Linked DNA regions of Rattus norvegicus. The protein of the gene in region 4 purifies or fractionates together with the protein of the main gene of each other region. This does not show direct contact. Links are inferred from orthologs where the notes say so. Each region holds a gene or a part of one and is shown on either strand. Other genes may lie near its edges.

Region 1 (8,212 bases), on a different chromosome or scaffold from region 4:
TCACAGTAGAGGCAGGGCTTTGAGGTCCTAAATGCTCAAGCCATGTCCTGTGTGAAACACGCACGGTCTTCTCCTTGCTACATGAGGGTCAAGATGTAGAACTCTGAGTTCCTCCTCCAGCACCATGTCTGCCCGAATGTTGCCATGCTCCCTGACATGACTATAATGGACAGAACCTCTGAACCTGTAAGCCAGCTCCAATTCAATGTTTTCCTTTATAAGAGTTGCTGTGGTCATGGTGTCTGCACAGCAGTAAACCCTAACCATGATGGGTTGATAGAGTACTAACAAGAACACCCTGTTTCACATTTCTCCTCTCCCAACCTGGCAAAAAGTAGTGAGAAGCGCCAAATGAGATAAAAACTAGAAACGTTCTTTTCTTTTTTTATTAAGAAAGCATGCAAAAAAACAAAAACAAAACAAAAATAAAAACAAAACAAAAAAAAAAAAAAACCAAACAAGTTGTGAGCCCATACACCCCCCCTTCCCAGCCTGCACCAATGCAAAGCATTATGGGTGGTGTAAAGAACTCACCAAACCAGAAACATGGGGTTGAGGAGAGGAAGCCTAGGATAGGTGAATCAACACAAATGACTTCTCCTTTGTCCTGCTCCTCTGCTGTCTCCCCTGTTTCCTCTTACAGGCAGTGACCCCTACAACTGTGCACACATCACCCAAGACAACAGCAATGACTATACTTCATGTCCAGCAACATCGGACCAACAAAATAAGTGTAGTTCTCTTTCCATGTCACAGAGGGCATGGGAAACTGAGGCCCAAGGGGGACCAGGTTTGAACTGCCCCATTCTGCAAGCCTGACCCAGGAGAGGCTAGAGCCTCAGGGGGCCCTAAAGCCACCCTCCAGTCTCCAGCCCAAGGCAGCTGCTCAGGCTGCCCACCAGGGAGACTGGCTCTCAAGACATGGAGAAGCCAGGGGCATCTGGAAGTATGACTCAGCCTATGCCCCCCAACCTGGGACAGATCTGACCAGGAAAGGTGCTTAGGAAAAGAGGTGGTACTGTGCAAGGGCAAGACCTTGAGGAAACCAAAGGGAAGCCGTGTAGAATACACCTGAATGGAAGGAACAGCAAGAGATGTCTAGTAGGACACCAGGCAGGGTGTGTGTGGGGAAACACCCCTCTCCCGGGAGGGAAACATTGCGTCTGTCATGCATCGGCCCTACCAGATGCTCTCCAGTACACTGCACACTGTGCTGGAGCGCACTCTTTTTCCTTATACTCCCTTTTATTTTCCTTACAAAGAAATAAAGTGCTCTTCAGTGAACTGCCCCCATCTTGCCCCCTTTACTTCACTGGACTCCACCAGTCTCATACATAAGCCCCCTTCTAAAGAAAGGAAAGGGGTTGATGAGGGGAAGTGAGAATGGGAAGCTCAGTGTCTCGGAAATCGTGGATAAATAAGAGAATATGAACAAAAATCACAGAGGTTGGCCCTGTGGAAGATACAACACATTTTGTCTGTTCCAGAAGGTTTAGTGAAAATACGATGGAAGTGAGACTGGACTTCTCTCTCGCAAGACAGCCACACACGTGCTAAGAACTCTGCAGCCGTAAGTCATGGCTGCTCATTTTAGTGGAGACTCCTCACTCCGAGCCTACGGGTGCGCCTTGCCCTCGCTGAGCCCTGACTCTGTATTAGTCATTTCCGTCTTACAGTTTTCATTGCCTGTCAAAATCAAAAGCTTCCACCCCACCAACAGGAACTTCAAGAGAAGCATCTCCCTGCGCAGTGACAGGTCCCCACCCAGGTCTACGCCAGCTCCCTAACTTCCCCACCCTCCCAGCAGCAGGACCACAGGTCTGCCAAGGCGGGAGGGAAAGAGGTTTCCACAGCATGTCTACGACATGAGGGGACTAGGAGTGAGAATGGCTTCCTTTTGTCTTTTTGAGAATCCCAGAAAATGGGAGAACAAAAGATAAGACAGGTGGATGATTTGGACAAACAGCTTTAGGAAGACAAAATAGTATTTGCTGAAGAAGAAGAGATGATGGAAGGTCATTGATATATGCAGAATAGTCAGTTAACTCTCAGAAAGAATTCCTTTTCCAAAGCCAAAATGCCTTAAATTGAAATTGTTTCCGAGAAGCTAAACTATGATGGACAGTGGTCTTTGTGCCTGAGCAGACAAGCAAACCTCCTAGAGCAACGGCTGGGAGAAGCCAGGGGTGCTTTGGCATGGCAGTGCACACCCAACCTCACGCTGGGTTATACCGACTCCACCGAGCCCAGCTCTCCAAGTCCAGCCGTCATGGCATGAGGACTGCCGAACATAGTAAAGATTGGGTGTTTAATAGGCGAGCTCAGAGGACACAATTAGCACCATTGAGTAAAGCTGCAACATTATGGTTGCCAAGCAGTGTCTTAGACTCCCCTCTACTGACTGAGGCCTCTGCAGGCCAGCCTGAAACAGGCAGGACCAGAACACAATTCAGAGCTGGAAGGTGGGATCAGCACTGAGCTTCTCGGACAGAAAGGTGAACTAGAATGTAAAGCCTTCCTTGACAGCTATCATGGCCTCATCTTGAGGCCTGAAGATTTCAAATGGGCAAAGCCCAGGGTAGGAGGGCAGGAGACTGGGCAGCAGATAACCAATAACAATATAATTAGAATAATAATAAAAGAACTAAAAGGGAACGAAGAATGAGGAGGGAAAGAGGATTATCCTCGGCAGCATCTTGCAGTGGCTTCTCTGACAGAGAGAACAGAAGGAAGCTATATATCTATATACAGGTTTGGGGAGGATGGACAGGACTGTTCTTCCCCCGTGGCTAGAATTCACCACCAGGTCTTAGGCTGATGTCCACTGTGATTTGTTAAGTGATCAAGTCCCAGTCGAAGTCATCAGTGATCTCCTCATTGGCACCAGGAGGTGGGACAGGTGGCCGGGGAACCATGTGGTGTGCTGTCAAGAAGAAAGACAGATCATGAAAGAAGCTGAAGGAGAAGCAAGTTCCATCAGTCTGGATGGGGAGTGAGTGCTCTACCCCAATGACACCATGAAGAAAGCTGGAGATAACACTGGTACAGTCAGCCTACAGTCCAATCAGTCAGCCTACAGTCCAGTCAGTCAGTCTTCAGTTAGCCTACAGTCAGTCAACCTAGAGTCAGTCAGCCTACAGTCAGTCAGTCAGCTTACAGTCAGTCAGTCTACAGTCCAGTCAGACTATAGTCAGTCAGCCTACAGTCAGTCAGTCAGCCTACAGTCAGTCAGCCTACAGTCAGTCAGTCAGCCTACAGTCAGTCAGTCAGCCTACAGTCAGTCAGTCAGCCTACAGTCGGTCAGTCAGCTTACAGTCGGTCAGTCTACAGTCCAGTCAGTCAGCCTATAGTCAGTCAGCCTACAGTCAGTCAGTCAGCTTACAGTCAGTCAGTCTACAGTCCAGTCAGTCAGCCTATAGTCAGTCAGCCTATAGTCAGCCAGTCAGCCTACAGTCAGTCAGTCAGCTTACAGTCAGTCAGTCAGCCTATAGTCCAATTAGCCTACAGTTCTTTTTTTAACTTTAAAGAATTTTTTATTTTATGTGCATGAGCGTTTTTAATGCTTCTCTCATACATTTTATCCTGACTATAGTTATTCTCTCTCCTAATCCCTCCCTCCAACTCCCCTCTCCCCCAGATCAACTCCTCCTATTTCCTTTCAAAAAAAAAAAAAGAAGGAAAGAAAAGAAAGAAAGAAAGGAGAAAAGAAGAGAAGGAAATAAAAGAAAGAAGAAAAGAAAAGAACAGTCCTCCCAGGATATTCATCAAACAAGATACAATAAGACTGGGCTCAAACCTTCATATTAAGGCTGGACATAGAAACCTGGTATGAGGAAAAGTATCCCAAGTACAGGCAAAGGAGTCAGAGATACCACCCCCCCGCTGTTGGAACACCAAGCTACATAAGTATATGCAGAGGACCTAGCTCAGACCCTCTACCCCCTGGCTCCTATGACCCTTCCTCTCCATCTTCACAGGGTTCCCCTGGATCCACATGCCCAGCGTCTGGCAATGGGTCTCTGCTGGATGACACCCCTCTGATGACAGCTGGGTTCCTTCTGTTGCAGACTAACAACTCAGTGACACCCCAGGAAACACACTGGAGCAAGTGGTGATCTGGCACTATCCTGCCATAAACTCTGCATCTGTGAAGGGTACCTCACAGTGATAAAACACCTTAATTAGGTGATAGCATATGAAAGAGCAGTGCAGAAAGTCACATCTGCTGCTCCCGGACAAAGAAACAGACATCACCTTCAAAACTGAAAATACTTGTGACCAGAGAAGATGGCGACGGTGAACCGCCTTTTCAACATGAGGAGTCTGTTCCTCTGCACTGTCTGCAGTGGTTCAGTGCCTCCCTGCACTCAGCATCCCGACCCATCAAAGACGGTTCAAGCCCACGCTGAGGAAGCAACCCAGTGGCACCACGCTTGCCTAGCATGCGAGAGACCCTAAGTTCAGCCCAACAGATGACAATACAGAAACAAAACAATGACAACACAAAACAAACCAAAACCGACGTGTTGGCCCCAGACATCTGACGCTAGTGATCAGGTGACAGGAAACCAGACATGGGTAAAAGCCATTTAGGTGAAGTGTTCACTTCACTTGCCCATCTTCCCTCTTGGTTCCAAAGCTAAATATCCCTCACAGCTGCCCTTCACTTACATTCATAATTTTACTTCCTTTCGATATTGTAGTTGCAGGATTTTTTTTTTAATTTTTTTTTAAAAAATCACTTTGTTGAACGTGTGTGTTTTGCCTGCATGTACATCTGTGCATAACATTCATGAGTGCCAGCAAAGGCCAGAAGAGGGCGCCAGATCCCCTGGAACTAGAGTTACAGACCACTGCAAGCCAGGTAAACCATGTGGGTGCTGGGAATGAAACCCAGGTCCTCTGGAAAAACAGCTGGTGCTCCTGACCACTGAGACATGTCTTCAGCCCCATAAGGTAAATTTAAAGACAAGCTAGCAGGGGGGAGCTCAGAGGTAAAGCCCTTGTATAGTGTGTGTGAGGTCCTGGCTCCATTCCCAGTACCACCAAACAAAGAGAATTTAATTAAGTAAAAGTGCCTTTCTTAGTCGCACCTATGCACACCTCCCTAGAGGGTAGCTCATCTCATCCTGCAGTCTTGGAGACCATGACGCCTCACCCATTCTAGCAGGTACAGACAGAAGGGCAGAGAGATGTCAGAGGAAAACAAAACAACACTGAGAGGTGAGTGTGCTTGTCTGTGAAACACTCCCCAGGGCTTACTTGGGCGACTGTATCCTGCTGAGTCTTGGGTGGAGATTGGGTACATTGGTGCTGGGCCAGGGTAGAGATGAGAGGCTTGCGGGTGCCCATAAGAGTTCACTACCAAAGCAAAACAAGAGTCACTTTAATGGGGGATTACTGTTGTCAACATGACAGGAAGGGAAAACATGTCTCTGTCTCTCTTCTTGTCTTGCTTTATAGATTCTACATGCAGGAAGCATTCTGCAGAAGCCACCGGCCTCAGCTCTTAGGGTGGGAAAGGCTGGATCAAAGGTGAGAGAAAAACCAGACACTTGATCAAGTCTCCATTTTCACTGACTCGAGTGGGATACAGGTGATGGTTATTATGGGGACAATTTAGAATAAGGACTTTCTTTAACAAGTCCCCTTTCCTTTCAAAAAGTAATTCTTATCTTCCAAATTGAGGTGTAAAAGGAACTTAGTCTACGGCTTCTGCAAAAATCCTTTATTCAGTCAACAAGCTGGTCCCGGGACTCAGCCGGATCACTGCCTAGAAAACTGATTGGCATTTCTCTTTCCCTTCCCTTCACCCTTCACTTAGTTCAGTCTCCGCTTCTCTGTCAACTTTGCATCTTACCTTGGTTCATAGATGGCTCCGGTTTGCCACTGGTGAGAGCACAGGAGTCAGTGATCCGGGAAGGGGCAGGTGGTCGGTGGGAGCCCCCTTGCGGGGGCATGTGACCAGTCTGGGTGAGGAAGTGGTTGAGGGAGTCACACAAGTTGGCGATGTGATGCTGATCGAGGGTCCAGTTCCTCTGCTCTGCCTGCCGTAGGCTCTCCATCAGCTCTAGAAACAAGAACGCCAGCCATGGTAACCCCGAGTGAGGCGCTGCCAAAGCCCGCACCACACCCGTCCCTGGTGCACGGTCTCCTCACATCTTGTACCACTAATGTCACGTACTAACGATAATGATTTATACCTTTCTCTTTTTTGCTTCTATAAGCATTTATTGAAATGAGATATGGTAACAAGAATCATTAAACGTGCCAGTTTTTAATTAGAATTTTCTTCTGTACGACTGCTTACATTAACCTTATGCTGCACGACACTTTTAGAATAAAAAACACAGACTAGAAGCAAGTCTACGTTTTGCACTCTAGCTAAGGATGCTTCTTGCAAAACTTGAGACTACTTTCTTTTTTGCTTAACGGGAGTCCTAACGGGAGTCCTCTGGGTAGTCACCCAGAGGCCACAAGTTACTTCTACTATTATTTGTTCCTTGCCAAATTCTTATTTTAATTTGTATCTCCTTGATGAATAAAAATGTTCAAAGTGACTTAATGAACTCACTATCATCTCTCTGCCAAGAAGCAAAACTGCAAAATGGTGGCCCAGAGTCTCTGAATTCCCAGGGGCCTTTCCTCTTCCCCAGAAGACAACTAGCATAAAACATTGCAATATTTGAATAATAGCAAAATTTCCAGTCAAACCTAAAAATATCGATAATATGTCTATCTTGTATAATATGCAAATGAAACTCTGTCCCAAACGCTCTTGGCCAAGCACATGGGTTCTAGCACAACACCCCTCTTCCCTCTCCCGGAAGCGGTCCCCCCTTCCCTCTCTCAGAAGCGGTTCCCCCCCTTCCCTCTCCCAGAAGCGGTCCCCCCTTCCCTCTCCCGGAAGTGGCCCCCCTTCCCTCTCCCGGAAGCGGTCCCCCCTTCCCTCTCTCAGAAGCGGTCCCGTAAGCGCCAACCTGAGAACTGGGATTGCTCGATGCTGGACCAGTTGAGCCGGTTCACCATTTTGAAGCTTTCCTTTAAGGAGTCAATATTGGAGCACCAGTCTGGAGGAAAGGCTGTGAAGAGAGCATGAGGTGGTGAGACAGAGAGAGAAGTCTACGCATGCAAGGTTCTCACGGCGACCCAGCTTAACAGCTGCATCAGCACCAGAGCTGTGCGCACTCCCTCCCTGGAGATGCAGGAACGGAAACGTGCCCTGTCCATTAGGCACCACGGGCAGAGATGTAAAGCCATCCTAGTTCATCTGCGAATATGGACCGGGAACAAGGAAATCCCCAACCTCAATCCTCCAGAGTACAGGGCTTTCGGTAGTGACTTCCATGGGCTGAGATGAGGTAGAAAGGCAAGAGATTGACCCTCAGAGACCAACTGTTAGCTTTTTCACCCATGGTACCTCCATGCCGGTCAGGAAACAGTTCGATCCTGCTCCTCCCAGCTTTCTCTGTACCCTTCTTACTCACCAAAGCCGGTGCTGTTGATGGGTGCCTGGCTCTGTGCCTGCTGCTGTGGTGGCTGCTGGGCAGGGTGGGAGTGGGGATGGTGCTGATGAGGGTGGTAGCCTCCATGCTGCAGTGGGGGAGGGTGCATGGCCATCCCAGTGGGGGGGCCGTAGACTTCAGCTCCTGCCTGTTTTCCCCCTGGTGTAGTACAGCCATCGGGGCTTGGGGTGTGCAGTGGAGGGGCACCCCCTACATTTGAGGGGCCCTGAGTGGGTGCCTGCTGCTGCTGCGGTTGTGGTTGCTGGGGTGGGGGCTGAGGCTGCGGCGGTGGCTGCTGCTGTTGCTGCTGCTGCTGCTGCTGCTGCTGCTGCTGCTGCTGCTGCTGCTGCTGCTGCTGCTGCTGCTGGTACATGTAATAGTTGTTGGAAGGTGGCATGTCTCCAAGGAGTGAGGAAAAGCCTGCAGGGAGAAGAGGAAGCCGGCAAATGATTTGGGCTACACGGTTTCGCTAAATGACATCTTCTCTCAGGATGAGAGCTCAGGCAGGAGAGTTGAAATGACACGAGCTCATTCTCTGACGGCAAGAGAGAACCATGTGTTGCTTCTAGTAGATAAGAGACTGGAAAAAGCAGTTAGGTCTGCCCCACTGGTGACCACGGGAATATTAATAAAAATTTTTAAACTTCACTAGTGACAATTCATACTACTTTTAAGGGATTTCAATGTAGGGCTGGGATTGGTTTCAA
Region 2 (7,438 bases), on a different chromosome or scaffold from region 4:
TGAGCACAGCGATATGGAGGGAGAGCCCTGGGTCAGCCCTGTCATTACAAGTACCCTGTCTTCATGGCTTGACAGTACCATGAGCCAATCCGCACAGTAGGCTTTGGACTTGGGCTGCGGGTGCCTCAAAGCACAGAAAAGGCATGGGCCAGGGCCTGAAGTGACAAGAGCTAGGGAAGGTGGAGTCGGGGCCCAAGCCTAGGTGCCCTAACCTGGCACCAGACCCCCCTCCCCCAAGCCTGCCCTGTGACCCCTCACACACCTGCGTGCGCCTTTGGCAGAGGTCATACTGCTTGCAGGGCTTTGGGTTATGCTCCAGCAGCTGGGAGTAGCAATTCTTCGGTGACATGATGCGCCACGTATCCAAATTCGCACAGAGCTGGAGGCAACAGAAACGCATCAGGGAAAGAGGAGTCAGACAGGATCCGAGGGAGGTGGGGTCCTGGTTAAGGACAGGAAAGCCTGAGGCAGGGCCACTGCAAATTGGGATTCGTCTCAAGGAGTCTGAAGTGTGTCCTGTGAGTCACTAATACTCCTGAATTGATGAGAGAGAGGAGCTTAGGTTCAAACGTCCATTTAGAGACGACTGAAAATCAGCAAAGAGGGCTGGAGAGATGACTCAGAGGTTCAGAGCACGGGCTGCTCTTTCCAGAGGTCCTGAGTTCAAGTCTCAGCAACTACATGGTGGTTCATGACCGTGTATACTGAGATCTGGTGCCCTCTTCTGGCCTGTAGGCATACACGCAAGGCAGAACGCTGTACACACAATAAATCTTTTTTTTTTTTTAAAGATTTATTTATTCATTTATTATATATGAGTACACTGTAGCTGTCTTCAGACACACCAGAAGAGGGCATCGGATCTCTTTACAGATGGTTGTGAGCCATCATGTGGTTGCTGGGAATTGAACTCAGGACCTCTGGAAGAGCAGTCGGGTACTCTTAACCGCTGAGCCATCTCTCCAGCCCCACACAATAAATCTTTAAAGAAAGAAAAGCAGTTCCCATTTTCATAGCTCCCAGTTCAAACAGCTTCCAGTTTGTGACAAACTCCGAAAATAATTAAATAATTAAAACTAGCCCTATGACAGAGTAGTGGGGATGGCCAGGGGAGACTGCGACAATGACAGGACTGTTTGCTGAATGGTGGGAAGGAATCTGATGGAGGTTCAAAAGAAAAGGCATTCCGGGGGAAAAAGGAATAGTAAGTTCAAAGGGTCCCACAAGCCTCATATGTCCAGGACAGTTGAAGAAACCAGTGTATGAAGGGTATGTGTGGTAGGACTGGGAGGCAGGACAAGCAAGGATCTATGGTAGGAGGGGCTCAGGGGCTCAGCTGACCTGTAGGATGTGGTCAATGGCCCCTTGGAGCTTGGTGGCTCCTCCAGTGCCTGGGGAGGCTGTGAGACCCAGGACCTGGGGAAGGGGCTTTGCCTTCTTCAGTTTATGCTCTAGGTACCGGCTCAAGATGGTGTTGTAGATGGTGTCCTTGTGGGTATGGTGACACTCGTCCACCACAATCAGCGAGAATTCTGGGGGCACATGAGAGACAGTTGTAAGCTGCGCCTGGCACTTCTTCCTCCCAGCAATTCTGTGAAGTCCCCATTCTTGTCTGAGGACTTCCTCTTCCCTTCCTTACTTGGCAAGGAGCGGGCAGGAATGACTTATCTTTCAATTTACAGATTAGGAAACTGAGGCTCAGCTGGAGGGAGGGGGAGGGCTTCTCTGCCCAGGAGCACGTCCTCTAAGCAGGTTATGCCTTTTTCCTCACCTGTGAGCTCTACGTGTTCATCCTCCTCAGAGCTCTTCAGCGCCAGATGCAGTAACTCTGCCGTACAGATGAGCAGGTCATGGCTCCGAGCCAATAGGCCAAAACCAGCTCGTGATCCCATGTCCCCACTCAGGGTTGTCACGGTCCATTGTTTATCCAACATGCGCCTGAACTCCTCGGCATGCTGGTTCACCAGGTGTACCTGGGAGTGAAGAATAATGGAGAGAACCTGGATTGAGGTCGGGGGTGGGAAATGGCAGTTGTTGGGAGTTGGGGTCGGGGAAGCTGGGAGGAACAACGTGGCAGGACATGATTCAGGACCCAACCATCTCCTGAACCAAGATGAGAAGACCTGGCAGAGCAGTAGTCTAGTCTAGAAGAGATGAGCCGAGAGACCCCACTCCGGGAAGGGTAGATCACTCACCCTATTAACCAGTACCACCACCTTGCCTCGGTCTACTGTCTCTAGATGCCTCTTGGCCACAAAGGCAGCTGCCCGGGTCTTCCCAGCACCCGTGGGAAGCCATATAATGATGTTCTTGCCCTCCAGAGCAGGTAAGATCACTTCCCACTGGTAGGGTCGCAGCTCCATTCTGGAATGGCAGAGGGTTCAGAACACGTACCCTCCCCTTCCTGCCGGACAGCCCAATCAGCTGCAGAGGCTGTTCTTAGCCAAGAACTCATAGATACCTACCTGGAACTTACCCTGGCCAGGATTAGGATGGGGTTTGGAAATGAATAGCAGACTAGCCTGGTCTCTGCTGAGGTTTCTGAAGCTCTGAAAAGCCCCAGGCTGACAGTTCAGTCAATGAAGAGAAATGAAACTGAAACAAGGGGAGGAGCCAGACGGAGCTGGAACCCAGCCCAGCCACCAAAAGAAATAAAAGTTAGACTGGAAAGGGAGATACTGGCAGAATAGGTAGGCCTTCACTGCTCCTGGGCTCTCTAGCTCCTCATGTTTTCAGGGGGCAGTAACCCCCACCCCCGGGCTGAGCTTAAGGCCTGGAGGTGCGGGCCTTGGCTGCCTGCTTCCTGGTCCAGGAGTCAGGGAAGAGACAGGCATTAAGGGCAAGCTCTTGCTCTCCCTTTGCAGGTGAGACAGGCTGGAAGCTACTGGAGCAGAAGAGGTGAGGGATGGCGGTCAGACAGGCCCATCACCCCACCATATATAGCAGGGGTCAGTGGCACCACTGTAGCTTGAAGTTAGGCTTCCAGGTAAGAAAGGGAAGGACTAGAGGAACGAGGGTCAATCTGTTAAGTCTGGAGCTGGACACCCCCCCCCCCCAAATAATCACACAGGGGGAAAAAAAAAAAGCTTTATTGTTCCCTCCAAGGGATTAATGCCAAGGAATGAATGGTCCTCCTGCCCCCAACCCCGGGGGACAGGTGGACAACAGTGTAGGACGAGCCGAGGCCCCTCATAGTTCCTCCAGTCTGAGCTGTTCCCACGTCGAGGCTCCTCACTGAATAGTCCTGGTCCCGGGAAACAGGCACCTGGACCAGGCTCAGGACGCTCAGCCTGCATAGCTCGGTAAGGACTAGCAGTTCATTCCCTGGCCACCAGACATTCTACAAGGGGCTGGCCCCAGACCAGACACCTCCCTAATGTCGGATGCAATGAAGGTGGGAAGAGAGCTGCAGGCTTGGGAGTAAGTGCCTGCTGGCCAAAGTCTGCAAGATTTGGGGCCCCTGGCTGGAGTTTCTCCCGCTGAGTCAGGGAGAGGGGGTCCGGGAGCACCCAAACGGATCTGATGAGACAGAGGTGGACAGTGCAGACCCCAGTTGGGCACTACTTGTCAATGAGCCCTCCTTCTTTGAGCTTGAAGTAGAAGAACTTCTCCAGGGCACTGGCGCAGCGACAATATTCGCTGTCTGGGGGATTGTACTCCCGGCAGTTGGCGATGACCCGCTGCAGGTCGGCTACAAAGAGCTTCCGGGTCACATAGTAGCGGCTGCGCAACCGTTCTGTCATGGTCTTCAGGTCTGGGTCACAAGGGAGAAGGCACATGACTTTAAGAGGTGAAAGGAGAAAACTGAGGATGCCCACCATGCTGGGTACCTGACTCCGCACAGACAGTAATAGATTGGGGCACGTGTTAGGGATGAGAGTACAAGGGTCCTCACCAATGGGGAAGCGGATAACCTCGTAGTAGTCAGGGGCCTCCGACTTCTTCACAGGTTCCATGAAGGGCCAGGCACTGGGGTGTGACTAGAGAGAACAGATGAGCTGAGGACAGGCCCAGTGTTCACTGCCCAACCGCAGACTGCCACCCACTTCTGTTACCGACAAGAGGACCTTGGCCTCCCACCTTGATCTGAGCCAGCAGGTTTTTGAGGGTCGTATACAGCTGGTCAGGGTCCTTCAGCTCCTTGCTAGAAATGAGAGATATCAAGTCTGAGGTCTGGGTTCTTCTGCCCCATCCTACCCCCCATTCCATGTTCATTCCCCTTGACTGAACACTTACCCCTTCTCCTTTCCCAGTGGCTTCCAGCCTGTCTCTCCTGCAAAGGGGGTGGGGGGGGTGGGGAAACATCTCTCAGAATGCCTGCCCATGCCCGGAGAATGCCCTCCTGCCCTTTCAGCCAAGGCCCCTGCTCACGAATGCCAGGGACGCTCTCCACAGGGATCTGCCTCACTCCTTCTTTGAAGCAGCTGAGTCCAGGGTAAACCTTTCGGATCTGTGCCTGTTTGCGCTCAATCAACTTCTTGATGATCTGAGGAAGCAAGGGTCTGAGGGAGCCAGCTCAGGCCCAACCACCCCCAAGACCATGGTCAGTAAATGGCAGCATTTACTTTTGGCTTTTTCTAAGAGGCAGGGCAGGAACTTACGACCTGGTGTGTCTCTACCACACATAAACACACACGTACGACAAGTCTCAGTGCGTTAGCTCCCCAGTGCAGACCCGCACAACCCTGCGCAGACATGTGTACCTCCTTCTGCTTCTTGATGATGTGGGACAGCTCTGTGTAGGGGATGCGGGGGTTCAGCTCACACTCCATCAGGGTCGCTCCCTCATAGTCCTTGATGTAGCCCAGATATCGGCTCTTGGGCACCTTGATGTCCTTGGAGAAGCCCTAGATGGGTGGAGAGTTAAGACCCAATCCATCAGCCAGGTTTCTCCAGCTTTCACAGTCTCTTCTCTGGTGTAGAGCATGCCTCCTCTTACATCTCTGAACTCCGTGTGCCTCTGCAAAGGCTCCAGGACGGCTGTTCCTCACCTCCTCCAATCCCCAAAGGACCTTCCAATCCCTGGCCTTGTTCTTCACTGGGAGCAAACAGGAAGGGGGGGCGGGGCTTCCTCACCGGTGCCGGGTGCAGTGGGCAACCAAAAGGAGCTCTACGGGGCACTGTGCACACAGACGGTGCCCGAGGTGGCGGTGCAGTGATTCCGAGGCTCACCTGCTTCTTGAAGTAGCCGATGGCGTACTCGTCGGCGTAGGTGAGGAAGTACAGGATGCTGTGTTTGATGTGGTACTCCTTCAGGTGATTCATCAGGTGGGTGCCATAGCCCTGTGGGGGAGACGGAGCAGGGAGGTCAGGTGGCCAGCAGAGGATCAGAGTTTGCGGAGAGAAAGTAAAGGGTTTCTAGATGCTCCTCTCTCAGGGCCAGATTCCAGGTTGATTCTTCAAAGACCCATTTGCCAGTTAGCCCATGACTAGGTCAAAAGCCCCATTTCGCAGGAAAAACACCAAAAAGACCCTGATAAGTCAGGTTGTGTATGAAGAACAGTCTGAGGTCAGTGGACCACGGACGCAGCAGAGCTGGGCTCCAACCCAACACGGCTGGGGTTTCAGAATAAAGGGGAAGAACAGAAAGGGGTCACAGAGGCCCGCTCATGTCAGGACCATACAGACAATGCACACAACTCGGGAGAACGAAAAGCCCAAAAGTAATTTGTTGCCAAAAGAGACAGAAGCTGGGACTATCAACTCCCCAAGGCATGCAAACCTTCCTGCCAAGAAACAAAGGTTCACTTGGAAAGTGTTGCTGCCGTGGGGTAGAGCTCAGTTAGCAGAACACTTACTCAGAGTGCGCAAAGACCTGAGTTCGATCCCTGGCAATGGATAAGACCTGGTGTGGGGGTACACACCTGTGATCCCAGTAATCTGGAGGCAGGGAGAAGTGGATCACAAGTCTAAGGTACCCCTGGACTACACAGTGTGCTTAAGGCTGGACTTGGCTATATGGGCCCTTCTCTGAAACAAAAAGTCCCTAAGGTTAACATAAAAATGCTGATTACTGGGGCTGGAGAGATGGCTCAGCGGTTAAGAGCACTGATTGCTCTTCCAGAGGTCCTGAGTTCAATTCCCAGCAACCACAGGGTGGCTCACAACCATCTGTAATGGGATCTGATGCCCTTTTCTGATGTGTCTGAAGATAGCTACGGTGTACTCATATATAATAAATTCTTTTTTTTTTTTTAAAGATTTATTTATTTATTATAAAAAAAAAAAAACAAAAGATCGTTGGGAGCAGAACTTAGTGGTAGAATATTTGCCTGGTGTACACAGGGCCCTGCATTCCATCCTGCATCAGAAAAGAAAAAAAAATCATTGCTGATTTGGGTACTTTTTGTTTGTGTTTTCAAAACAGGGTTCCTCTGCACACCCTGGCTGTCCTGTAACTCAAACTGTAGACCAGGAAGGCCTTGCCTCTGCCTCTTCCTCCCGAGTGCTGGGATCAAAAGTATGTACTACCCTACCCTGCTGATTTTTATCATATCTGTATTTTATTATTATTTATCATTTTATTTAATGTGGGTGATGAGGATCAAGCGAAGGCCTTCGCATTTACGCTTTACCAGAGAACCATCTCCCCGGCCCTCAGAATGACATCCACTGTTTTGCTGTTGCTAGAGAGGCTTTCTCTGTGTTTCCGGCTGTCCTGGAACTCACACTGTAGACCAGGTTAGCTTCGAACTCAGAGAGACCCTCCTGTCTCTGCCTCTCCAGTGCTGGGATTAAAGGCCTGCATCACCACTGCCCAGTGTTTTCTCAATGATCAGTTATCAAGGTGAAGCTGCCACCCTGAGGGAGTATGTGGAAAGTCTGCTTGATACAGCAAGGGCTGGGGCACAGATATCCTGCCATTTCGGCTGGCTTGCTCCATATTCGGAGGCAGGTGGTAGAACGGGGTCATGGTCAGGGGCACTGTGCTCACCTTGACCTGCTCATTTGAGGTGACAGCACAGAAGACGATTTCCGTGAAGCCCTGGGTGGGAAACATGCGGAAGCAAATCCCACCGATGACCCGCCCATCCTTGATCAAGGCCAGGGTCTTATGCTTCCTAAGAGAGAGGGGACATGTCACGGGACTCACCTGTCCTCTCCTTGCTCCCCAGGTCCCTCAGCCACGAAAGGGTGAAGTGTCATCGGGGATAAGAACAGAGGAAAGGTGGAGCCTTACAATTAGGAGAGTGTCCAGTGGAGAGGGATGGGGAAGTCAAGGTGCTCTGGGGCTGGGGTGCCCAGGGACTCACGGGTCAAAGACGAGGCGGGCAATATATTCCTTGGGCATTCGTGGCAGCTGGTGGGAGAAGACGTTCTGCAGCCCCACAAGCCACAGCAGCACACGCCGGTTGGCCTTGGGCGTCAGAGAGTTGCCAATGACGTGGAATTCGATGATCCCTCGACGCTCTTCCAGGCGAGCTGTTTCATCTCGAGC
Region 3 (8,034 bases), on a different chromosome or scaffold from region 4:
GTAAAAAGAACGGATACAAGATTGGAAACACTACAAACGGACGAACTAGTTACAGCACAACATAATTACTCTTTTCAGTACAGCAATTACTTTTATTAAAGAACAAGAAAGATACCATGTGGATATAAGTACAGGAACCAAACATACTACACGCTTGATCTCACTGTAGAATTAGACTAGGAAGCTATGAAACCAAATTTAACCAAGTCCTTTCTGGTAAAGTAAGAATTGGACTGGGGATACTGCTCAGTATTAATAGAGCACTTGTGTAGTGTTGGTTAGCCCTGGGTTCTATCTCCTAGTGGCACATACACTCAGACTTTCATCCTAGTGTGATAAAAATCTGACAGCTCACTTAAAAAAAGCTTTATTCATTCTTTTTTGTAGCAAAATTAGAGGAAAAAATTTGCAAGACATTGATGAAAACAGGAGAAAGTAAGGAGCACGTGAAGCTGTCATTAGACATTGACATTGACTGTCAGGATGCCTGATTACGTATAATATGTGTTCTTTTCTGACAGGTCAGCTGGACAGTCTTATCACCAGAATTCCAAAGGCACTGGTGAGCAGCATAAAGCAGGTAATACATGTAGATTACAGATTTGAGAGAAACAGGTTACCTGTAACTGTACACAATGGAGGGTTTGTTGTTGTTGTTTTGTTTTAAAGATTTATTTACTTATTTATCATGAGCACACTGTAGCTGTCTCCAGACACACCAGAAGAGGGCATCAGATCTCATTACAGATGGATGTGAGCCACTATGTGGTTGGTTGGAATTTGAACTCAGGACCTCTGGAAGAGCAGTCAGTGTTCTTAACTGCTGAGCCGTCTCTCCAGCCCCACAATGGAGTTTTAACAATAGGCTCAAAGGGCTGTCAAGATGGTGGGAGCAGCTGCTAAGGGCACTTGCAGTCAAGCTGGACTACCTGAGTTTACTTCCCCCAGAACCCACAGGGAGGGGAGAACTTTTTTTTTTTTTTTTTTGAGTTGTACTCTTAAAAAGAGTTTCAAAGATGAGAGATGAAAGCTCTTTACCTTTTGTTACTGTATAACACTTTTTTTTTTTTTTGGATCTTTTTTTCGGAGCTGGGGACCGAACCCAGGGCCTTGTGCTTCCTAGGTAAGCGCTCTACCACAGAGCTAAATCCCCAGCCCCTGTATAACATTTTTTTAAAAATACCAGTGACAGGGGTTGGGGATTTAGCTCAGTGGTAAAGTGCTTGAGGCCCTGGGTTTGGTCCTCAGCTCAGGGGAAAAAAAAACAAAAACCAATGACTTGTAAAATATGTTGAGAATTAGCAATGGTTGGAATGCACAGGGCAGACCTGTTTTTTACATGTGGATGAAAGGGAAGAATCCTGCATGAGCAGCTTCAAAAACCATAAACTATTTCATAGGGAGCTCTTTCAAAATAGCTCTTTTTCTGATGAAGTTAAGAGAAAAAAAAAAAGTCCCTAAAGGCCTTTTGCAAGTTAAGGGATAAGGGGGGTTAGAGTGCGCTGGCCTTGGAGACATGGGTGTGTGTACAGGGGATGTTCGAGGACAACTCTGTAGAGTCATTCTCTCCTTCTGTTTGACAGTCCAGGGACTGATCTCAGACAGCTAGACATGCTGGGCAAATCCTTTACCGTCGTCAGGCCTGTACCTCATGTTACTTGCACTGAACTGGGGTGATGCCGAGCATCTTTTTATGTGAGACACGTGGATTCCAGATGTTTGTGTGTTTTAAAAATAAAGGGCATATTATATATTGTCTCAATATTTAACTCTGCTTCACAGTAATCGTTGGTAGTCATAAATATTATTAATAATCTTTGCCTCAGGAAGTCATACGATGTCTTTGCCCACAGAGAGAATCAAGGAGGGACACAGAATGTCCTCACACACTGCCAAACTGCAGGAGTTATGGAGAACTACTCAAATCCAAACAATTCACATCCCTAAATCAATGACAGATGCGTCTTTTCTAAAGGTAAGACAGATTTCTAAGTGTTAACTATGGTATGTGTGGAGGTCAGAGGAAAACTCATGAGAACCAGTTCTCTCCTTCCACCCTGTGCGTGCAGAGGTCAGACTCAGGCTGCCAGGCTTGGCAGCAAGCGCTTTTGCTTGCAGAGCCCTGTTACCAGCCCTGAGATGTTTCTGGGGGACGCCCAGGGCCTCGCACATCCTAACAAGCTCAGCTCCCGAGCTATAGGGCCAGAACTTGGGTCTGAAGATAAACTGCTCAGGTAGAATCTAAGGTGCTGCAGACCACATGGTACACACCTAACAGACCGTCAGTGAGTCCGTGAAGGGAGCTTCCTGCAGAGATGTGGTGATCTAACACTGGGGAGCCTGTCTGCTTCCTTTTTTCTTCTAGCTCTTTCCTTTGGATGCTGGCCAAAGCTAAGCATGCTTCCGCTGCCACTCTAGTTCCTCACTGCATCTCTGACCTCCATACCTAGCTTGAAAGGCATGACTTTTTCTCCACTTCTCTCCTCCTGGCAGCTGCGGGCATTTTCAGTTTGCCTGGCTTATTATATTTCCCCTCAAAATTAAAAAAAAAAATTGTCCTCAGTCTTCAAAAACCAAACAAAAAAGAGTAGGACTAGGCCTTACCCCAGCACCGGAAAAACAGAAACAAGCGGATCTCTCTAAGTCTAAGGTCAGCCTGGTCTACATAGGAAGTTTGAAGCCAGCCAGGACTACATAGTAAAATCCTGTTTCAAAAAACAAATAAAAAACCCAAAACTAAAACCCACCCACACCCAAAACAGAATCATTCATTAAATATGTTGGATAAATTCATGAGTGACTTCAAGGATTATAAGTTAAGAGTCACAAAGGTTCTTTCCAGGAACTTCAGAGCTAATACATTTCTATTAGGAAGATCAAGTGCCATTCACCAAGACACTCCAGCGATAAAGCCCAAATTCAGAGCCTTCACTCAAGGACTACAAAATTAGAAGCAAGCAGTAGAGAAAATGGCATCGAGGGTTTTACAGCTATGGACATGTGTTCTCCCTGGGTCACAGTGGAGAGCTAAGCATGGTGGCATGGACCCGTAGCTCCTGCTACTGGGGAGGCTGAGGCAGAAGGGTGACTCGAGTCCAGAAATTGAGACAAGCCACAGTAACACAGTGACACCTTGTTCAAACAAACAGACCAAAAGTCTAAGGAGTAGTAGCTCGGCTCATGGCTGTTGGGAAGTACAAGCAAGAAGATGGGGAGTTGAGGCCAGCCTAGGCATTAGGAGACTCTGTCTCAAATAAACAAGAAAACTTCCCATAGCTGGTTAGAGTCTCATTTCTAAAGTATTGTAGTTAGTAAAGAGTTCTTTAGACTAGTAGTTTCTTCTGCCAAAATTCCTACTTTAGGTGAACGACTTATTCAGTAATGTACATTTTATGCCTACATATACATGAGTCTTGCATCTTAAGGAAGGAAATATTTTTTTTAAAAAAAGGACGTACATTCAGTCACAATTTGATTAAAGAAACCTAGTATGGGGACACACACTTATATTCCCAGTGTTCAGATGGAGGCAGGAGGACCAGAAGTTCAAGGTATATAGCAAATTCAAGGCCAGCCTGGGATATATAAGAGCCTGCTTCAGGGGAAAAAAATTAGGGGCTGAAGAGATGGCTTAGTGGTTAGAGCACTGAGTGCTCTTCTAGAGGCCCTGAGTTCAATTCCCAGCAACCACATGGTGGCTCACAGCTGCCTTGAACTCCAGCTCCAGGGGTTGGTTGGACACCCCGTGCATCATCTGTACTTGTGTGCATACCCACAGATAGACACACAAGTTTTTAAATTGTAGGTTGGAAACTGACAGTATGTTTCACAGAAACTAGCAGGTATTTTTCTGCTCTGGAAAAGGTGTTTCTTTAGTTGAGACAGTAAACTAAGGTGCTTTCAGGTACCACCATCTTATACCTTAAACATCAGAGTGACAGGCAGTGGCAGGGCAGATGGCTCAGCTGGGGAAGCTGTTGGACACCAAGCCTGAACCTGCATTGGATCCCTGAGATCACACAGTGGAAGAAGACAACCAAAAGCTGCAAGTTAGACACACACAGACACACGCACACACACTCACACACACACACATACACATGCACACACACTCACACACGCTCACACACACATGCTCACACACATACACACACACATGCACACGCTCACACACACATGCACACACACATGCACACAAACACACACGCTCATACACACACATGCTCACACGCTCACACACACACATGCTTACACACACACATGCTCATACACACATACACATGCTCACACACTCACACACACACAGCTCACACATACATGCACACAAAGTAAATCAAGCAAGATGTCCAACTTGAGAAGGTAGATGGGAGCTAAAGCTTGTGGACAGAGAGCTGAGCCCCTCTTTGGTTCTCAAAGCTCAAAAGATAACATGAATTATTGTAGGTGGCAGCTACAGCCATTTGCATGTTTTAATAAACCATCATTTCCTTTTCCTCTGGGCAAGTCGAGATAACTGAATTTGCTTGTGAGAACCATAAAGATGAGGTGGGACAGCCCTCAACACCCATCCTTTTAGTAAGAAGACTACTGCCTTGTGTTGTACAGTGTCGTGGGTCTCCGCAACCACCAAGGGCAGCATTATGTCACTCTGTGAAAGATAAGGCCATTCAGCTCACCACAACTCAGTAGCTGGTGTTGGCTCAACTCGAGTCTTACCTCCAGTAGCTTATTTCAGGCATCTGTAAACACAGCCCAATTTGGGAAAAGGTTTCCTGGTGATAAAGAATTCTACCCATGTACACAGCAAAGTTTAAGACATAGCCACATGGGGTTGGGGATTTGGCTCAGTGGTAGAGCACTTGCCTAGCAAGCGCAAGGCCCTGGGTTTGGTCCCCAGCTCCGAAGGGAAAAAAAAAAAAAAAAAAGGAAAGACATGGCCACATGAAGACTCTTGGTAAAGTAGACAATAGGTACTGTAGATTACCTGAGGAGAGAGGCTCACAGGTCTTTCTTTGACAAGGGTGTGGAGGAGCAACACAGGTAACCCAGTGATCTCTAGGCTATTAAACGCAGGTTAAATATCCACATCTCTCCCTTAGAAGAGAGGACCCTGTATATTTGACATTCCCAGCTCTCCCAGTGTCTCTCTGTGAACATAGGACCTACATGCCTCCTACACTCTAGCAGTCAAGAGCCCCCATTCTGTCTTTCAGCATCCAGAACTCACCTCAGGCCAGAAGCGCTACCTGTGCAGCATTGCTAAGATCTGCAACTCCAGCTATCTGAGGACCTTAATGAAGAGGCAGTACATGCATCTGTTTCATCACGGGTTACAGAAGCCAGGCAGGTGTCCCCCACTTGGTTTCTTGTCAGTTTAGAAGTGAGAGCATCTTCTAAGAGGTGATTTGTGTTCCAGGTGTCCTCACTCATCATAGAAGCCATATCAGCTCTCGATACTCACAGAAACAGCATTCCCCCTGCACTACATGGAGACACCATCTGGAGAGAGAAGACTCTCTGGGCATTGCAGCAGAAGCACCTGAAATGATCATACATGCCCTTTGGAGACCCCTGAGACACAAAGAAGGGTCTGTCTGGTTCTTGAGTTTAAGAAGGAAAAACCACCCAGTTCTGTGTACAGAATCTGGGGAGCCTCCTGAGATTAAAACTCCCATTTCCTACAATCACTCCCCTAAACTCAGATGAGGGAGGCCACTTCCTCTTCCTTGAAGTGAGTGGGATATGACATTAAGGGCGTCTGAGTTTCGGTGACAGGATGTATAGCCCAGGTATACCTCAAATGCAGGGTAATCTCTTGCCTCAGCTTCCCACATGCTAGCAGTATAGGCGTGCCACCACACCAGGTGTTCCACTTTCCCACACAGCATAATCTGGACGTATAAGCATTTCTCAATCAGGACAAGAAGGTTCAGCAAGTAAAAGTATTTGCTATGCACGCTCAACAACCTGTGTTTGATCCCTAGAACCCAGGGTAGAATCTGGTAGAGCAGATTCCCCAAAACTATCCTCTAACCTCCATACATGAATCACATGAACCATAGCAACCACCCATATTTAAACACAGAATAAATAATAATAAAAAGAATTCTGGATCACCAAGAGCTAGACTGCACTTCCCACTCAAATTCCAAACAATAGATTCCTCCAGAAACATGTAGTGCTCCTGCAGAGGGGAGTACTATACAGCCAGGAGGAAGAACAGCAGCTCTCAGCAGGTGTGGTGGCATAAGCCTGTAGGCTCAGTACTTGGGGGGATCAGAAGGTTACTTAGTCAGTTTGAGACATGCTTGGATTACATGAGATTGTGGTTCAGAAAATAACCCACAGCTTACAGCACAAATGTGTCAGTCTCCAAACTGATGGCAGTGCTGCACTTCAGGGTTAGCGGATCACAGGATAATCTGGGGAATGGGGGTCTTTGGTAATCCCAGCAGCTAGTAAAAAGAACCTTATTTTATGTTTGAGACTGACAGCACTGTTCACTTTACTGTCTCCAATTAAAATATTTCCCTTTTCACAGGTTAAAAATTGGATATGCATCTAAAACAAGATGCAAGTCCCTGAAGATTTTTAGAAGACCAGGCAGACTGTTCTTGCTACCAGGTAACACACCACACACACACACACACACACACACACACACACACACACACACACACACACACACACACACACACACACACACACAGTTAAGGATTTTTGTTTTTGAAACAAGGTCTCAGAACCAATCCTCCTGTCCCTACTTCTGAGCACTAAGATTATAGGTGGGCAGGGTTACCATGTCTGCCTTGCACTTTTGAACACTTTGCTTAAAAAACACTAAATACAGGTTGGGGATTTAGCTCAGTGGTAGAGCGCTTGCCTAGGAAGCACAAGGCCCTGGGTTCGGTTCCCAGCTCCGGGGGAAAACAAAACAAAACACTAAATACAGTCATTCTAATTAAGCCTTGATTAAATATTTTAAGTGTGATGAGTTCTGACCATGGTGGCACATGACATAGGTCCCAGGGCAGAAGCAGTGAATCTGAGCTCCAAAGCAGCCTGGTCTACACAGCAAATTCAAGTCCAGTCAGAGCTGCTCAAGAATACCCTATGTCAAACCCAAAACTAAACATGAAGCAACTTATGCCTCCATTCAGAATTCACTACTCAAGAGAGTGAGATTCAGTCTTTTTCTCCTGTGCTAGGCGTGTGCTCTGCACACAGACTTTCACCCCAAGTCCTTCAGGGTCTGTTGTTGTTGCTGTTGGTTTTGTTTTAGGCAGGGTCTCTCTCTCTCTCTAGCACAGAGTGACTGATAACCAAGTGCTAGGACTATAGACTTTGCCAGTATACCCAGTATCACATGTATTTTGTAGGTGCTGGCTAAGAGTGTGCAGTCCTATCCCAAGAGTCCAGTCCAAAAAGGCCAAGGATAGATACCCTGGCAGAGGACACATTGCCAAGGTCCTCAAACCATGAAAGAAAAACTAAAGGATATGGAGACACTGAAAACATAACTGAGTGCCACGAGTTCTAATTCTCTCACTGAAAGGCTTTGAAAATCAGTGGGAATAGTGTATACTATACTATGCGTAGCACACTTAGGGTGCTGTGACTACCGTAAAAGAGACTGGAGGAAGTGAAAGGTAACTAAGTTGAAAACAGTAGGGGACTTGTTTTTGCAAAAGCTTCGTAAGCCGGGCCACTTGAAGTGGTGTTTAGAAGTTCACTCCCAGGCTTGTGTGTTGGTGCACACCTTTAAGGCAGGCGGCCCTCTTGTGCAGTCTGTGGGCACCAGGCACACACACAGTACATAGACAAACATGCAGGCAAAATACCGATACACATAAAATGACAGTAATAAAACTGGAGAACTTTATTTCAGAACACATTATAAACGCTTATCTTCCCTTTAGTTTCTTCTAAGGATTATCAGCCATGCATGAACGATGAGACAAAGGAAGAGGATCTACTGAATGAGTGCATGCAGTCCATGTCCATTCAGGAACAAGGCTCATCTCATGCCAGCCT
Region 4 (7,459 bases):
TAGGGGACATTGAAGCTCTGTAAGGGTAGTGCTGGTACTTATGTTCTTAACTGATGTATTTCTGGTGCCTTTCCAAATGTCTTGTGTAGTTCATGTTCAGTGAACTTTTATGGAAAACTGACCAGTGATTTTTGGGATTATATTCTGTTAAAGTGTATCAATGTATCAAACTTAGGGTCCATATATACTTAGAGATACTGTGTATTACATGAAGTAAATTAAAAAATTAACTTTTAAATTCTCATTTAAAACAAAAGTCCCAGTATGACAGACAGATGGATGTTAGTTCCCTTATGTTACTAATACTTTTAAATTTTATTTTAATTGAAAACAGAAGTTTTCAAAAATATTCTGGTTATGGTTGCCCTTCCCAGTCTTCATAGAGACTGCAGAACATAGAGACTGTGCAGGTCACCAAGACCGGAAGTAGCTAACCAGCCACAGTGAAATTCCATGAATAAAATTAACTGAATCATCTTTCATGTGAAAACACTGGCATGGATTAATCTCAATCATAAAGAAGCTTCCCTCACTCCTAGCTTCTTTTCCACCTAAATTGCTATGTTCAATCATTTAACCAACTTGGCAAACCCAAAGCTTCCTAACCATTGGCCAAATTGCACTGGAGACAATTGAATTAAAATGTCATTCATAGGCAAATGGATGGAACTAGAAAATATCATATTGAGTGAGGTAACCCAATCACAGAAAAACACACATGGTTTGCACTCACTGATAAGTGGATATTAGCCCAAATGCTCGAATTACCCTAGATGCACAGAAAACATGAAACTCAAGACAGATGAACAAAATGTGAATGCTTCACTCCTTCTTTAAAAGGGGAACAAGAATACCCTTGGGAGGGAATAGGGAAGCAAAGTTTAGAACAGAGGCAGAAGAAACGTCCATTCAGAACCTGCCCCACATGTGGCCCATACATATACAGCCATCCAACTAGACAAGATGGGTGAAGCAAAGAAGGGCAGGCTGACAGGAACCGAATGTAGATCGCTCCTGAGAGACACAGCCAGAATACAGCAAATACAGAGGCGAATGCCAGCAGCAAACCACTGAACTGAGAACAGGACCCCCATTGAAGGAATCAGAGAAAGAACTGGAAGAGCTTGAAGGGGCTCGAGACCCCATATGTACAACAATGCCAACCAACCAGAGCTTCCAGGGACTAAGCCACTACCTAAAGACTATACATGGACTGACCCTGGGCTCCAACCTCATAGGTAGCAATGAATATCCTAGTAAGAGCGCCAGTGGAAGGGGAGGCCCTTGGTCCTGCTAAGACTGAACCCCCAGTGAACTAGATTGTTGGGGGGAGGGCGGCAATGGGGGGAGGATGGAGAGGGGAACACCCATAAAGAAGGGGTGGGATTAGGGGGATGTTTGCCCGGAAACCGGGAAAAGGAATAACAGTCAAAATGTAAATAAGAAATACCCAAGTTAATAAAGATGAAAAAATAAATAAATAGCAAATAAATAAAATACAATAAAATAAAAGTCATCTCAAAGGGGTGGGGGAGGAGTTAGGGGGATGTTGGCCTGGAAACCAGGAAAGGGAATAACATTTGAAATGTAAATAAGAAACACCCAAGTTAATAAAGATGGGGGGAAAAACTAAAAAAAAAAGTCATCTAGTCTTTCCTGACTAGATGGACTGAAGAGGTCCTGGACAGAAGTTCTAGACCTTGCTTTCCCATGATTCCTTCTCATGTGCAGAGGGACCGGGTAAATCATGCAGGTCACATGGTGTACTCAGACATAACTCCCAGCCCTGTATCAGTACAGGGATTCTCTCTGCATATTTTGGATTTGTGGTTTGAAATAATTACATTTGCTACTCAAATGTCCTACCACTTAGACACTCCCAGTCTGATTCACCCTGCAATTTCCACCTCCAAAAGAGAATGCTGCGATCAGTTTCTTCTCCTCTCACCTGAAGACAGTCACAGCTCCCAAGGACATGACATTAGTTACCTGGCAGTTTCTCTCCCCAACTCCCAAGTTGCCTTGTGGTGTTCACTCCTGGAGAACCCTCTGCAGTCCTCTTCCTGTACTAGTGCTTGTGGTCTGAAAGGACTTTTCACCACCTTCCTCACAGGGCTGTAGTTCCTATACTCACCCGATCTATGTGAAAGCACGGATCTGTTTGTCCTATGACACACTGCTAACACTTGCAGCCTTATACAGGTCATATGTTTAATGAAAGTTTGGAGCATGGGAGCCCATTTACTATACTAATTTACTTAGGTTAGAATTTAATTAGTTAATCAGAATAAGAAACTAAAGATAATAAGGCAACTATTAACAATTATTTTTATTCTATTATTAACAATTTTATTCTGTTCATCCAGTTCCTCCCCATAGCACAGGAAATACCAATCCCAACACCATGGTGTCTTGTGACAGATTGCAGATCTGATGTAAAGCATCCCAACTTGTTTTACAAAGTAGTAATGCTTTTTCAACATGGATAAACAGCAGTAAGTGCATGACTAATACAAACTGGAAGCTTAAAACTCAGCCTAATGAGCCTTCTAGTAAATGTAGCAACAGTTTAGAATACTAAGAGGAAAAATCATCCCTGAGTCACCCAAACAGAACAGTGAGAGTGGGGTGGCTCACACTCTCCTCCCACCAGCTCTAGATTGAGGGTCTGCTGCTTAGATCACGGAACTACATAACTATCTGAATTGGGAACTGCAAGTGCACTATAATGTGTGCTGCTCAGAGCAGTAGTATCAGGGGCCAGGTTTTTTAGCCTATTCCCTCTCTTCCTCATCTCTCAAAGCCTCTGCATACCACACTGGGTATGATCTGGGATCACTCCCATTGATGCTGGTCAAAAAGGTCAATATTTTCATCTTGGTGGTTTCAGCATAGGCTCTTGGGCCCCAGAGGAACTCATAGGAAGGAGGGTGGCTTCCAGGCACCTGCCTGTACTCCAAGTACCCTTCTTGGACAAAATCATCAGTGATGAGCTTCCTGGGTTCTCCATATATAAAGTGTTCACTTCCTGCATACAAGCCTATGTTATTCAATACACCCCATACCATGTCTTCACGGATACAGTTGCCTTCCATGAATATTATGCTCAGTACCATGATCAGGAGGCCTGTCTTGGGTATGCCCTGAATATCAGTCATCATGCCATCATAAGTGAGCTCTAGGGCTATGGCAAGGATATAGGTGTGGCCAGCAGGATCTATTTCCTTTAATTCAAGGCCAAAGACTAGTTGCATGCACTCTGAGGCTTCTCTAAATATAACAGGAAAGTGATCCTGATAATTTTTAATTATATTACTTAGGATTTCTGCCTTGCTGACTGGCTCTTTCATAAGATACTTAAAGAGCAGATATTTCACCAACTCATCTACTTTGACATCTATCTCACCTGTAGACAATGAAGCACCACATAGCAGGGTCTGTGAGGAGCCTGGACTCTCCTCACCCTCAGGATCTGCACTGACCTGGCTACATGGAGAGGAAACCATGGCAGTGCAGGAAGAGAAAGCTCTAGAAGCAGCACAGCCCTCCTCTGAGTTGCCTGATGTTTGAGAATAGGAAGAAGAGGTAGAAGAGAAGGAAAAAGGGAAAGAAGAGGAAGAAGTAGAAGAGGATGAGGAATCTTCTTCTGTTGAAACTGCAACACTCATTTGGCCCTCTGTCTCATTTTGGCCCTCAGGCTGTCCCTCAACCATACATCTCCTACGCTTCCGAGGTCTAGGCATGATGATGACTCTAGTCTTGAACACCAGGCAGGAGCTTGATGATATAGACCCAGAGACCTAGGGGAAGAAGAGGACAGTAGAAGTATTGACAGTTACTCCACTGGAAATGCTCACAAAATGCTGATAACAGGATTTCTATTATGTGAACTCTAGAGCAACAAGGAGTCCTGTTTCCCTGTCAGGTCTGTCTCTTGAGAGACTGAGGGGAGTAGTGACAAGTTTCCTCAGACTGAAACTGGGCCAGAGTAGAGGCTTCAAGATTGCCAGAAGTGTGTATGAAGCTAAGCAAAGGGGGTCTACTGTGCTTCGGGTACATGTGACATATTCAAGGTGTGTGCCTCAGATTTATTCTAGACCCTACCTGGGCTTCCCCTGACGAAATAATCTCAGATCAAGACCCTTACATAGCTCCTGCGAGAGAGGATGAGGTACCCGACAGCCATAGACTATAAGGTCAATACTAAATCCTAATGCTAGACAGGGTCCTGAACTGCATTGTGAAGAGTTACCTGACTCTCAAGTTCCCTCTATGCCCACTGTGGGTTTTCCCTTCTTCTATCAGGGTCTGGACTCCACCCCATCTCCTGGTCTGAAGCAAACTCCTGGACCCCACCCTTCTGCTGGCCTGAGACAAATCCCTTGAACAAACTGCCCTCCTCTCTGAAAAGACAGTAAGGTGCCTTCATCTTGCATCTATTCAAGGCAACTGCAAAAGGTGCCTGAGTTAAATGTGTTCTGTAAGTAGGGAATGAGGGGCCTGCCCAACTTTCAGCTTGATGCTCTGGTTCCTCTGATGAGCTTAGGCCACACACCTTAAGCAAAGGTCCACTCTGCTGAGACAGAAGAAAGAGGAAGGGAGGAGAGGAGGGAATAGTTCCATATTTCATAGGGTCCCTGAAGCTGGCGGGAGAGTAGGTAGGGATTGAACCTCATCTGTATAGGTGACTTGACTCACTCAATTCTTACCTTGAGTCCTGGCTGATTTGAGAGACTCCCTCTGATGGCTTCAGTCACAGTTCCTTTAATCAGGGTCTTTAGATCTCTGAGACCAATGTCCTAGAAATAAAAAAAAAAGGGATCGGACAATCCTGCCCTGGAACATGGGAGTCACAGGAGATAAGCTTCTGTGGGCCCTGTCTGTGCTCTGAACTGGGGTTACTTTCAACTATCCCTTGGGGTTCACACCTACTCTGATGATAGATCATAGAACCCCTGCAAATAACCAAGATCTCATACTCAGATCAAGTCCCTCAATATCAAGAGATCATGAAAATAATCAGGAGGTTGAGCAGCTGCTCCATTGCTCCTATGCTGAATTGGGATCCCTGGAGATATCTACAGGGTTCAGACTAATCTCTGTTGTGTCCATTTAGTGCAGTGTCTTCATCTGACCTGTCCTTCCTGACAGGCTCTCGTTATACTACTACTCCTCTTCCCCAATATATCCTGCCTTCCCACCTGAATTAGTTTAATTAAACTTGTCATTTAGCTTCCCCAAGGGCTGGTCTCAGGACACAGCTAGACACCATAGTCCCTTCTTTCTGGGCTATAGAAACATGCAATCATCACAAGAGGTCCATGTCTGGGATCTGGCTCATCCTGAAACTCTTCCCTTTACTTGCCATCTGAAGATCTTACTACCAAGGTGTTCAAGTCCCTCAGATCTCCTATCCCCAATCTTGAGGCAGAAAAGAAACCCAGCCATAACAACCACACTTCAAGGTCACCTAGGCATTAGAACAAGGGCAAAACTTGTGTAGAGGATGATAGGTACTTTCAGATGTTGAGTTTTTACCATGTCTGCTCACCTTGATTACTAGACACCTTCTCTGGTAACCAGGCGTGGCCCTCTTTCCCTCCCCCCATCTCTCTCTCGTGATCCCACTCACTTAGTCTCAACTTCCTGAAAGACACAGAAGTTAAGATAGATCTGAATACCCCTGAAGTGCTTCTCAAAACTAGCAGAAGGATCAGGAGTCCACTCTTGTCTTGGGGATTCTGAAGGATTTCCTATTTAGTTCTCACAAGGCATCTGCTGGCCCTCACTTCTATCATTCAGATCCAGGCCACCATTGCTCCCCAACTTACACCTGGACATAGTCCATTGTCTTTCCAGGTTAGTCTGTACATATAATAGAAGCAGCTTTTACATATGTAGTATCAGGGCTTTCCTTTTTCCTCCTTCAGGGCCTGAGTACATTACCTCTACAGATCTGAGGCCTTCACCTCAGAACAAGGCCTGATCCTCCCTCATACCCTACAAGTTGAAGCAAAGGTGCACTACATCATTTTCTCACAGCTGAACGGAGTGTGAAGGTCTACCTAAGATCCGAAGTGCAAGGGACTATTTTCTGGAAGTGGGCCCCACTGGATGCCAGGTTGCATTAATTGAGCATCCTCTGTCCAGAAAATGTCTCAAAAGTACACCTTCTTCAATTTTAATGGGTATCTCCCCTCCAGGAACCTTACATCCACAAGTCCCCAGATGAGGAAGTAGAAGGGTGGAAAGTGCCCCATACTCAGTGCCTACTTGATGCCAATGCTAATCAAAGGGGTCCGGAAAGCCTGTAACCAGAAAGTGAACACTATAATACAAGCAACTCGCTTAAAAAGCACAAAGTCTTTTCATTGCTCTTCTCTAGGAACTTTACTAAAAGGATCCATGTCCCCACAGCCACTGATATGGATTTGGAAAAGTAGTGTGGTAGGGTAAGTCAGAACCTGGACCATGCTCAAAGCTCCAGGAACTCACTAAAATGACACCAAGTACTCCAGGTACCTGGTTGTGGATGCTAAAGGAGAGGAAACTTATTTCTGTACTTCACCCAGGTTTTTAGGACTATATAGTGGACACGGTTTGGCATAGTATCACAGCTTTTTGATCTGGGGTGGGACTTTTGCAACTCCCTGCCTAGCTAGTTCCCACTGTGACTGAAAGACATTGATGCTCCTTCTTTATTTGAAACTCCTTAGTGGCTCCTAGGTGCCGAGTTCTGTGAGAGGAGTACTTCTAGTGGATCCCAAATGAATTATTATTTGGGTACCCTTCAGATGAACTGAAGCTTCTGCAATTCCACTTACAACTCCCAAATATACTCTGAAAAGGACTTTGTCATCTGTGTTAAAGACCTCTAAACATCATTGTTCTATACTGCGCACAGTAACAGACTGGGAAGAGGACTCAAAAATACCACTGGCCCACTATTTAAAACAGTGTTCACCACAGGGGTGCAACTAACAGTTAGAGGTTCCCTGTACAAGGAGTGACGTTTCCCCAGGCCACTCTGCAGTCCAATCGGACGTTAACCTCGGGCAAGAGCAGGATTCTTACGGGGACGTCCAAGTGGCCCCACTTCATGCCATACTAACCAAATGGGTTAAACGGCATTGTTTGAGCACTGCCTATCCTGAAAGGGGCCTTTTACACCCACTTCACCTCAGCCAAAGCACTCACCTCAACACCAAAAGCATGGCAAAACGGCTTCCAGGGTCTTCACAAAATGGCGTCGAATGCTCAATGCCCCCCGGATACAAAAGGTTGGGGAGGGGCTCTTCTCCACAAATCAGCAACGAGGCAGCCTGTGATCCCCGTGAATCTCACAAAATGGCGCTGAACCCTCAATGTCCCCGGATGCAAGAGGATAGTGGGAAGAGACTCTTCCACAAGTCAGCACTGAGGCAGCCTCTGAATGCTGTGAATCTCACAAAATGGCTCT

Evidence for each region.
Region 1: the proteins of Magea10 (region 4) and Foxj2 purify together in Homo sapiens (affinity purification with mass spectrometry; 3 studies listed by BioGRID and IntAct, counting the BioPlex papers as one, with this or other methods). This does not show direct contact. The link is inferred for Rattus norvegicus from reciprocal best matches to the Homo sapiens genes MAGEA10 and FOXJ2.
Region 2: the proteins of Magea10 (region 4) and Kat2a purify together in Homo sapiens (affinity purification with mass spectrometry; 3 studies listed by BioGRID and IntAct, counting the BioPlex papers as one, with this or other methods). This does not show direct contact. The link is inferred for Rattus norvegicus from reciprocal best matches to the Homo sapiens genes MAGEA10 and KAT2A.
Region 3: the proteins of Magea10 (region 4) and Fam216a purify together in Homo sapiens (affinity purification with mass spectrometry; 3 studies listed by BioGRID and IntAct, counting the BioPlex papers as one, with this or other methods). This does not show direct contact. The link is inferred for Rattus norvegicus from reciprocal best matches to the Homo sapiens genes MAGEA10 and FAM216A.

The regions. Positions count from the first base shown.
Region 1 is NC_086022.1:157,737,629-157,745,840, reverse strand, and holds the end of Foxj2 (forkhead box protein J2), read right to left. Parts: intron 7,926-8,212; coding exon 7,488-7,925; intron 7,083-7,487; coding exon 6,981-7,082; intron 6,071-6,980; coding exon 5,861-6,070; intron 5,362-5,860; coding exon 5,263-5,361; intron 2,924-5,262; coding exon 2,835-2,923; 3' UTR 391-2,834; downstream 1-390.
Region 2 is NC_086028.1:86,129,481-86,136,918, forward strand, and holds the end of Kat2a (histone acetyltransferase KAT2A), read right to left. Parts: coding exon 7,254-7,438; intron 7,062-7,253; coding exon 6,935-7,061; intron 5,284-6,934; coding exon 5,173-5,283; intron 4,848-5,172; coding exon 4,704-4,847; intron 4,487-4,703; coding exon 4,372-4,486; intron 4,274-4,371; coding exon 4,237-4,273; intron 4,145-4,236; coding exon 4,081-4,144; intron 3,981-4,080; coding exon 3,896-3,980; intron 3,755-3,895; coding exon 3,561-3,754; 3' UTR 3,055-3,560; downstream 1-3,054. Other genes in the region: ATP-dependent RNA helicase DHX58, read right to left, coding at 263-379, 1,342-1,532, 1,772-1,973, 2,196-2,363. UniProt on the Homo sapiens protein: Protein lysine acyltransferase that can act as a acetyltransferase, glutaryltransferase, succinyltransferase or malonyltransferase, depending on the context.
Region 3 is NC_086030.1:39,860,182-39,868,215, forward strand, and holds part of Fam216a (protein FAM216A), read left to right. Parts: intron 1-521; coding exon 522-580; intron 581-1,853; coding exon 1,854-1,975; intron 1,976-5,213; coding exon 5,214-5,343; intron 5,344-5,416; coding exon 5,417-5,588; intron 5,589-6,541; coding exon 6,542-6,624; intron 6,625-7,919; coding exon 7,920-8,034.
Region 4 is NC_086039.1:155,252,798-155,260,256, forward strand, and holds the end of Magea10 (melanoma-associated antigen 10), read right to left. Parts: 5' UTR 7,198-7,459; intron 4,800-7,197; 5' UTR 4,710-4,799; intron 3,801-4,709; 5' UTR 3,744-3,800; coding exon 2,775-3,743; 3' UTR 2,238-2,774; downstream 1-2,237. UniProt on the Homo sapiens protein: Not known, though may play a role in embryonal development and tumor transformation or aspects of tumor progression.